2 linked regions of the Struthio camelus genome follow. The protein of the gene in region 2 purifies or fractionates together with the protein of the main gene of each other region. This does not show direct contact. Links are inferred from orthologs where the notes say so. Each region holds a gene or a part of one and is shown on either strand. Other genes may lie near its edges.

Evidence for each region.
Region 1: the proteins of LITAF (region 2) and NEDD4 purify together in Homo sapiens (co-immunoprecipitation; 4 studies listed by BioGRID and IntAct, counting the BioPlex papers as one, with this or other methods). This does not show direct contact. The link is inferred for Struthio camelus from reciprocal best matches to the Homo sapiens genes LITAF and NEDD4.

The regions. Positions count from the first base shown.
Region 1 is NC_090953.1:16,358,603-16,362,512, forward strand, and holds the start of NEDD4 (E3 ubiquitin-protein ligase NEDD4), read right to left. Parts: upstream 2,768-3,910; 5' UTR 2,714-2,767; coding exon of another isoform or gene 2,669-2,713; intron 1-2,668. UniProt on the Homo sapiens protein: E3 ubiquitin-protein ligase which accepts ubiquitin from an E2 ubiquitin-conjugating enzyme in the form of a thioester and then directly transfers the ubiquitin to targeted substrates. Specifically ubiquitinates 'Lys-63' in target proteins.
Region 2 is NC_090956.1:12,993,211-12,997,120, reverse strand, and holds the start of LITAF (lipopolysaccharide-induced tumor necrosis factor-alpha factor), read right to left. Parts: upstream 2,835-3,910; 5' UTR 2,757-2,834; intron 1-2,756.

The sequences.
Region 1 (3,910 bases), on a different chromosome or scaffold from region 2:
TGCTCCCAACTGATTTTTTTTCAAGTGGCCTCAAGCAAAGTGCACGGAGAGAAAGTCTGACCTGAAGGTGGGAAACGCACTTTAAAGTGTTTCTTTCCTTTTCAAGGCAAGGTAAATGAGAGGAGAAAAATTAATCTTAAAAATCTTTGTAAAAGCTCTTTATTTTCCTGGATTGAGAAAGGAGTAATCTCTTTTGTCTTTTTTCTATATACTATTCCTGCAATGTAGAATAGTTTACAATAAAAACAGATTTTAGACACTTGATTAGTATTCAGTCTTGTTCTTCGATATAACTTCGTCAAAAAAAGCCGAACGGTACCAGGAATTGTGATCACTGGGCAACTATAATTTTGTTCCTACTGCATATTTATTTTAGCCTGCTACTGCGTATTTCATCTTGCCAGAACCTTTGATACAACCATAGGTCACACTTTCTAAGAGACAACAACTGTTGTTTACTAAGGAAACAAACCAGGTAGTATTCAACAAGCAACTATTCTGTATCTTCTTCTCTCTTCTTCTTTCAGCATGTGATCCCAGACCTTGTTTTGCACATACTGTTAAGACCCCATTCTGAATACAAAATTATTAATTCTCCTCATGGGCTGCTTTTCTAGTGCTCACTCTTTCAACATCCAAGTGAGCCACAAAAGTCCTACTGGTGACAGAATGGTATTATATCCATTTTATAGAATAAAAACTGAACCGGAAAAATTAAGACCAATTGCATTTGCTACAATTTGGCACTGAAATTCAGATACCTAAACACAGCATACACAATATCCAGCTGTATACACCGTGCCCTAAGCTACAGCTTCCTTCTGACCCCAGCCTCTTTGCCAACATTTTCATTGTGCCAGCAACATGATATTAACAGCCCCGTACTAAGGGTCTGAATGACTAATACACCATTAAGCAAGCTATCAGGGATAAATTCTGGAAGGGGGGGAGGGGGGGTGGAAGTCTCCAATGCTGCATTCAGCTGCCTCAACAATTAGACCAAGCCCTCCAGAGGTAAGCAGACAACTTCAAACCATATCCCAAGCAAACCTCTCTCGTGGAATGGGTCAAACAGCAGCCCCGCGGGAAAAGCAGGGTCCAGACATAAACTATGGAAAGGCTGCAGATCAAGGTGCAGGTGTACTGGTGTGGAGAAGGAGTTTACAGACAGCTCCTTGATACTACTTCTTTCTTTTCTGTATGGTTTGGTTTTCTAATTCTGTGTCTTTACTGTAATTCTGTGAAGGCAATTTTGCAGATTTAAACTCTGGGAAGAAAAAAAAGAAGAGAATCCAGGGAGATAGGAACTCTAGTTTTAATTCTAGCACCCTAGTCCAAAGCAGCTGGCAGCAGATTTTCTATAACCCAAAGACTATCCATTTTATCATTTGTGCACGTATAGTCATACACTGAAACTATGAAGAAAACCGCACATGTTCTTTAAGTGTTTATCAATATACAGCAACTGAATATCAAAGTCTCTGATGGTAAACAAACTGTGTTTTAAAAAACTGTAACTTGAGAAAGTGTGGCTAAGCTTTTAAGTTGTGGAAATAGTTAAATATGAAAGAATCGTTACATACAACTTTCTTTCCTCCCCCTCCCTCCAAAGACTTCATGTTCCAAAGGATGTAGGAAAAGTAGAATTGTTCAATTGTGAGCCGATTTCAAAATTTCTTCCCCACAGCAGGCAGGCTAAGCAACAATTAAGCTGGCTGAAATTTAATAAAATAAATTAAAATACAGAGCCTGAGGCATGGAATATTTCAGTCCAAGTGGATAGCCTCAGAAAGTTGCAAGCAACTGAAAACAGGATCTTCCAATGGAAGTGCTGGACAGCCCTAACAGCATGTTGGGCTAATTTTCTAGGAGAGTTCCTACCCCACTGAAGTTTTTAAGAAGAAAAATTAACTTATTAGAGCTTTTTGGTTACTTCTGGAGAAGTAATACACCAATTACAGCTAACAGACTTCAGGAAGACGTTAGCCTTCTGTCAGGCTAACAGACTAGGAAGAGTATTTCAAAGTTAAAAGAACAAAACAACCCTGCTAAGCCCGCAACAAAGGCGCGTTGACAGAGAGAACATCACCGAGGGACACAGAAAGAGCCGATCGAAGACAATCTTGGTGAAACGCCCTGCTGGCTCGAAAACAACAGTACCGACATGTCGCCCAGGTCACCGCACAGCTGTCTGAGGGAAAGCGCTGCGACTGAAGGGGGGAGCGGAAGGGGACAGGCCGCCCCCCCCCCCCCAACGCAGGTAACGCTCAGAACGAGCGGGCGCTGCTGGCCGAGGCCCGCGCCGCCCGCGCCCCGCTGCCTCCCCCGCGGCCGCCCCGCCCGCGCCACCCCAACCGCTCAGACAGCGGCTCCGACGCGGCCGGAAACAAAGGCTCGATCCGCCAGCGCTCCTCGCCCGCCCGGCGCGGTACCGACCGGGTCACCGCGCCCGCCCGCCCGGCGGAGGGGGCGGCACGGCGCTGCGGCAGCCTGCGCAGGGCCGCGCTGCCGCCCCGGCTCCGCGAGCGAGGCGGCGGCGGCGGGACCTGCCGGGCTCCGCTCCGCCGGGCCGGGCCGGGCCGGGCCGGGCCCACCCCGCGGGGAAGCCGCCGCCCGCCTTCCGGCGCGACGGGACGCGGGGAGAGCGGGGCGGCCCCGCCAGGCTCACCTCCTCGCCGGGCAGCCCGAACACCTCGACGGGAGAAGCCGCCATGACCGCGCCGGCGAGCCGAGCCCGCGCCCTCCCCGCCGCCGCCGCCGCCCCGCCCCGCCCCCTCCCCTGGCTTCGCCGCAGCGCGCGCGCCCTCCCCCGCCCTGATTGGCGGGAACCCCCCGCGCCGCGCCCACCCCCCGGGAGGCGGGCGCGCCTCCTGATTGGCGCCCGCTCCGCGGCCCACCCGGAGACGCGCGCCGGGCGGGGGGGCGCGCGCGGGCCCGCCCCGCCTCAGGGCCCGCCCGCCCGCCGCGACGGGCCTCTGCCCGCCCCGACGGGAGGAGGGTCCTGAGGCGGGGCCGAGCCTCCCCTGCCCCGCTCGAGCAGCTCGTCTGAGCTAACAAGAGATGAACGAAAGAAATCATCAGGGATTTTTCTTTTCTTTCCTTTTCTTTTTTTAAAAAGGTCTGCCTAACCCTGCTGTTTAGATCGTTGGTGTCTTTCCTGCACCTCTGAAGGCCAGGGGCTTCTCCTCAAGCCTCGAGGGTCCCTGCCTAACCACTTCATGTCCAGAGTGCCTTGGGGATCACAGAACTCGGTAAAAACTGGCAGAAGGAAAAGTAAGATTCATTGACATGAAGAAAAGCCTTTCCAGCCGGGCTGAGATGGTGTTGCCTTGCGAGGGCACTCAGCGGAGGAAGGAAGTTGCACATTGTGTAAGGAGCTGACCTGATGTAACAGCCAAGCCAGGAGAGCCTGAGAACACCAGAGGAGGAAAAGGGATAGCTTGCAAAAGCCTAGTTTGGAATCAATGTAACAGTGTCATAAAGACTTTCCTTTTTCTCAAAAAAAAAAAATCTCAAACTTACAAGCAACAGCAGCGTGTTGATGAGGGAGCATGTTAGCATTTCTGGTGAACGTCTGAGGTCATCCTCAAATTACCATTCAGTGGTGTTTCTGAGCAGTCTTTCTTTATATACATTCCCGTTTAAAGGGTCTAGTTCTGTGATATTTTTGCACGTGGTCTGAATTCATCCTGCCTTTCACAGTGCCCTGTGAATCACACAGGATTCCCTGCCCACTGGCCTTCCCCACCAGCAGAGGACAACTGGAAGAGCTGGGCTAGGAAAACTAAATAAAGCAGGGTGCTTTAGTCTGAGCTCTGTAGTTGTAAATGTTCGTACAAGCCTGAGCTAAGCTTCTCTGTGTACTGAGCAGGCTGTGAGCTAGAAAGCAGAGCTTCATTTCAGGAAGAAC
Region 2 (3,910 bases):
TTGTCTTTCCAAGTAGGAACAGAGGAAATAAGAGCATTTTATTTTGCTAGCTACCACTTCAGAAGTAACGCAATGCACGTCCCTAATTAAAGGAACGAGCACTGAGAGCAGCCATCCAAAATCCCATAGCTAATGGAAATACCAAGAATATACTTGGAGAGCGTAACCAACAGAAGGAAGCTCTGAAAGAGGTAGGTTTAAAACATCTATGTTAACTATCTGAAGTTGAGGGACATGATGTGAATTTGCAACAGTGGAAACAGTTTATCTCTAGCAAAATAAAATACAGGTAAATCTTAATCTGATAGTGAATTTCTCTAACAGTTGTATAGTTCCTGAAGAGAAACCAAAGAATCTCTATAATTAGCAACTGTTAAAATCAGCATTTCTAGAAACTATGCTAGGGATAAGATTAGCTCTAGCAAAAAGATCAGGTTGACTGTGACAATGATTATAGCTGACATTGGAATTCTGCATATAATTCCCAGTGAGGTCAACAAGTATATGTAACGGTTTAAATTGTTGAGTGCTGTGATAACAAAGTGTCAAAGCAGGAGAGTGCTTTAAATGATGGTATACAATTCAGAAAACTGCTGAATGTTTGCACACAATATGAATGTTGAAAATATTTCATCTCATAGAAAAAAATGTAATATTGTTTGCTAGGAAAAGAAAACTATTTCCTATACGAGCAGGTTGCATGTTCATAGTTCTTAATTACTTGTGCATAGCTAAGGCACAACAATAAATGAATTGGAGAAAACTTTCAATTTCTCATTACTAGCACAGCTGAAAAGCATGCTACTTGATTGCTTTAACCGAGTCTGCCAGTATGCTTCACGAGTTCCCTGTAAAATACTAAACGGAGTTCTTTGTGCTCTCCAGCTGTGAGGATCAGGGGTACCTAGGGCCCTGCCCTAGCTATAAGCCTTAAGCATTAATTGGGGACAGGTGGAAGTGACGAAGTAAGAGGAGAAGGTTTCAAGCAGTTCTGAAGGATTAACTGCCCTGTGCTTTCTTCATAGCAGACTGGAAACTTTCCCATGCTATAATTCTGCACAGATCAAGCAGCCCATTAGCAAAGACAAGAAACTGATGTGAATGAATCTACTTTGTTCTCCGTGTGATTTACTAAATTTGGGTTACAAATCACCAAAAGTTTTGCAAGGACAAAAAGTTTTCAAATTATGCTAAAAGAGATTGCTGGGCTTCTCTTACGGCTTAGAGCTGTGCTATTGCTGTATGACTTTTACCAGTCAGTTCTGTCATAATTGCATTCACACTTTTTGTACAAAAGGGCCTGACCTTTCTCGCTAACGTGAATGTCTTGCTGTTAGGACACTCATATCACACAGTGGAGTGCCCGTTTGTGGTTACGTATGTAAAACAAGCGTGTCCGTAGGGATTCAAGTATCTCAATGGGATTTAAACATCATATGAAAGTTCTGCCCCAGAGCCTACCTCTGCATCTGTTGACAGAAAGATTAGTTACTGTCATGGCCAACGTTGCTCTGTCAGACCAGCCAGACCATTCGTTATTAATAGTGAAGGTAAACCCCTGGTAGTACTTGATCTTGCACTTTCTTTTAAAAAACAAAACTACAAGGAGGCATGCTTAGGGTGCTCTGTACAAGACAGCCGCTCTGCTAATGCTCCAGACTGGCTAATTAGGATTCAGGAGCAGTCCAGCATCACCATCTAGACTGCAATTTTAGGAAGGCCTACTAAGACACCAAACTGTGTGAGCAGGGCTGCACAGCTTCCAGGAAAAACATGTCTCATATGCGGACAGTTTTGAAAGTGAGTACAGATCAGGTGCCGACTGTATCCTTCTAGGTACTGGGTAATATTTAGCTTGTCATTGAATGAGAATGGAAAGGGGACAACACATTCATGACTGTCACAAGCCCATGGCAGACAGAGTGTTAGTGCAGGGAACAATTACTTTTCCTCACTCGAAAGCCGTGCAGGATATAAACCAGGATCTGAACACTGTAAAGCGGGTGCTTGTGTAGGCACAAAGTGCACAGCAACTTCTGAACGCCTGTCACGCTCTATTCCCTCCAAGCTTCCTTGGCTGCAGCTCTTAAGACTTCAAACGATTGTCAAACAAGCTGAGAGCTGTTTTGCCAGCAACCGTCCTACCACATCAGAGAAGTGAACGCTCCATGGTCATCTTGCTGTGACATCAGTAACGATCAGTGCAGCGGAAGCCGGGAGGAACCCTATTTTGGGCAACTTCCTGATGCAGTTACGCCGTTACTATGCCCCCATAGGGTGATTTACTAAATATGGTGGAGACGGTGGGAACGAGATCGTACAGAACACGTTTGGGAAGGGATGACCTCAGGGGGAACGAGCCCAGCCCTGCTCGGGTTGGGCTCTTCGTGCGGTGCGCCCAGGCCCAGCCGGATGCTGTCAGCACAAACAAGCACAGCGCTGCCCCCGGGGTCTGCGGCGCAGCGGTCGTGGCGCACTGCTGCGGCAGGAGCCGCGGAAGGGCCTTTTCCCGGGGCACAGCTCTAGCACAGCCGCCTTCGCACACGCGGCGCGGCCTGGCGCCCCCCGCCCCGGCGGCTCCGTGGCGGCGCTCCTCGGCGGGCCTGAGGGGCCGCCCGGGCCCAGCAGCCGCGGGCGAGCCCGGGGCCCGGGTCCGGCTGTCGGGGCCCCGCCGGGCGGCTGCTGCCTCACGCCCGCACCTCGCCGCCGGCGGGGCCGAGCTGAGGCGGCAGCCGGAGGAGGGGGGGAACTTTTACCTCAGCTTCGCCCCGGCGAGCGCTCCCGGCGAGGGGCGGCCGCCGCTAACGCCCCGCCCCGCGCGCGCGCCCCGTCAGCCGCTGCCGGCCCCGCCCCGCCCCCCGTATAAGGCGGCGCGAGGCAGCCGTCGCGCCCGCTGTGGCGTCGGTGCGTGCGCCGCGGCGCGCGGAGCCCCTCAGCCACGGTGAGCGCCGGGGGGGTGGGGAGGGTGCCCGCGGGGGGGGGGCGCCGCTGCCGCCGCTGCCGCGCCGCCTCCTTTCCGCCCCCCCCCCCCGGGGACGTCTGAGGGGCTGCGTGTGGCCGCCGCCCCCTCGGCGGAGCGGCGCGGCGGCGCCCCGCAGGCCCGGAGCGGGGCCGCTGCCCGGCGGAGCGCGGGCGCCGGGCGGGGTCTGGCGCTGCGGCCGGGGGTCGCTGGGAGGCCGGGCGCCGCGCGGGCGGCGCCCTCGGCCCCCCCCCCCCCCCCGAGGCGGGCGCAGGTGCGGGCTCGGAGGGGCCGGAGCTGCCGGCGAGAGTCCTGACTCGATTAAAAGGTCGTAGAAACGGTGCGGGCTGGGGCTGGGGCGGCCCCCCCCCGCGCGGGGCCCTGCGGTCTGGGAGGCTCTCGGGAGCAGAGTATGAAACCCGCTTCGGCGGTGGGAGAAGCGTGTGGGAGCTGTGTAGCTGGCATTAGACAGAGCCGTTAAAAAGAGTGGCGCCTTTCGATTTAACGTTTGTTTAAAACAATTTAATGTTGCCGTTTCAGCAAATTTGCTAATATGTCGGGAATTAAGCTATGACATGGGATGTACGTATACATAGCATGTTACCTCTGATGACTGAAGTTCAGGAGCGATGGTGTCATCTCATCCGGACAGGCTTTTCAGTAGAGCTAGCCGTGGATACAACAAATTATGAATATAAATGAAGAGCGTGACGGCCACTTTTTCTTGTGGTTGCTTCTGTTGAAGCAAGCGTGGCCTGAACACTAGCAACCTCCTCCCAGGCCCACGTAAATTGGGCTGCTTGGCTCAGTGAGGGTTGCAGCACAAACCTGTTTCACTGGCTGCGCTATTGCAAATGTCCGTGAACTCTTGAAATTGTCTGGATGTATCTGGAAAACTCACCAGAGTGCAGCTCTGGCCTCTCTTCATCTTCTGTTCTTCTGTAAAATATT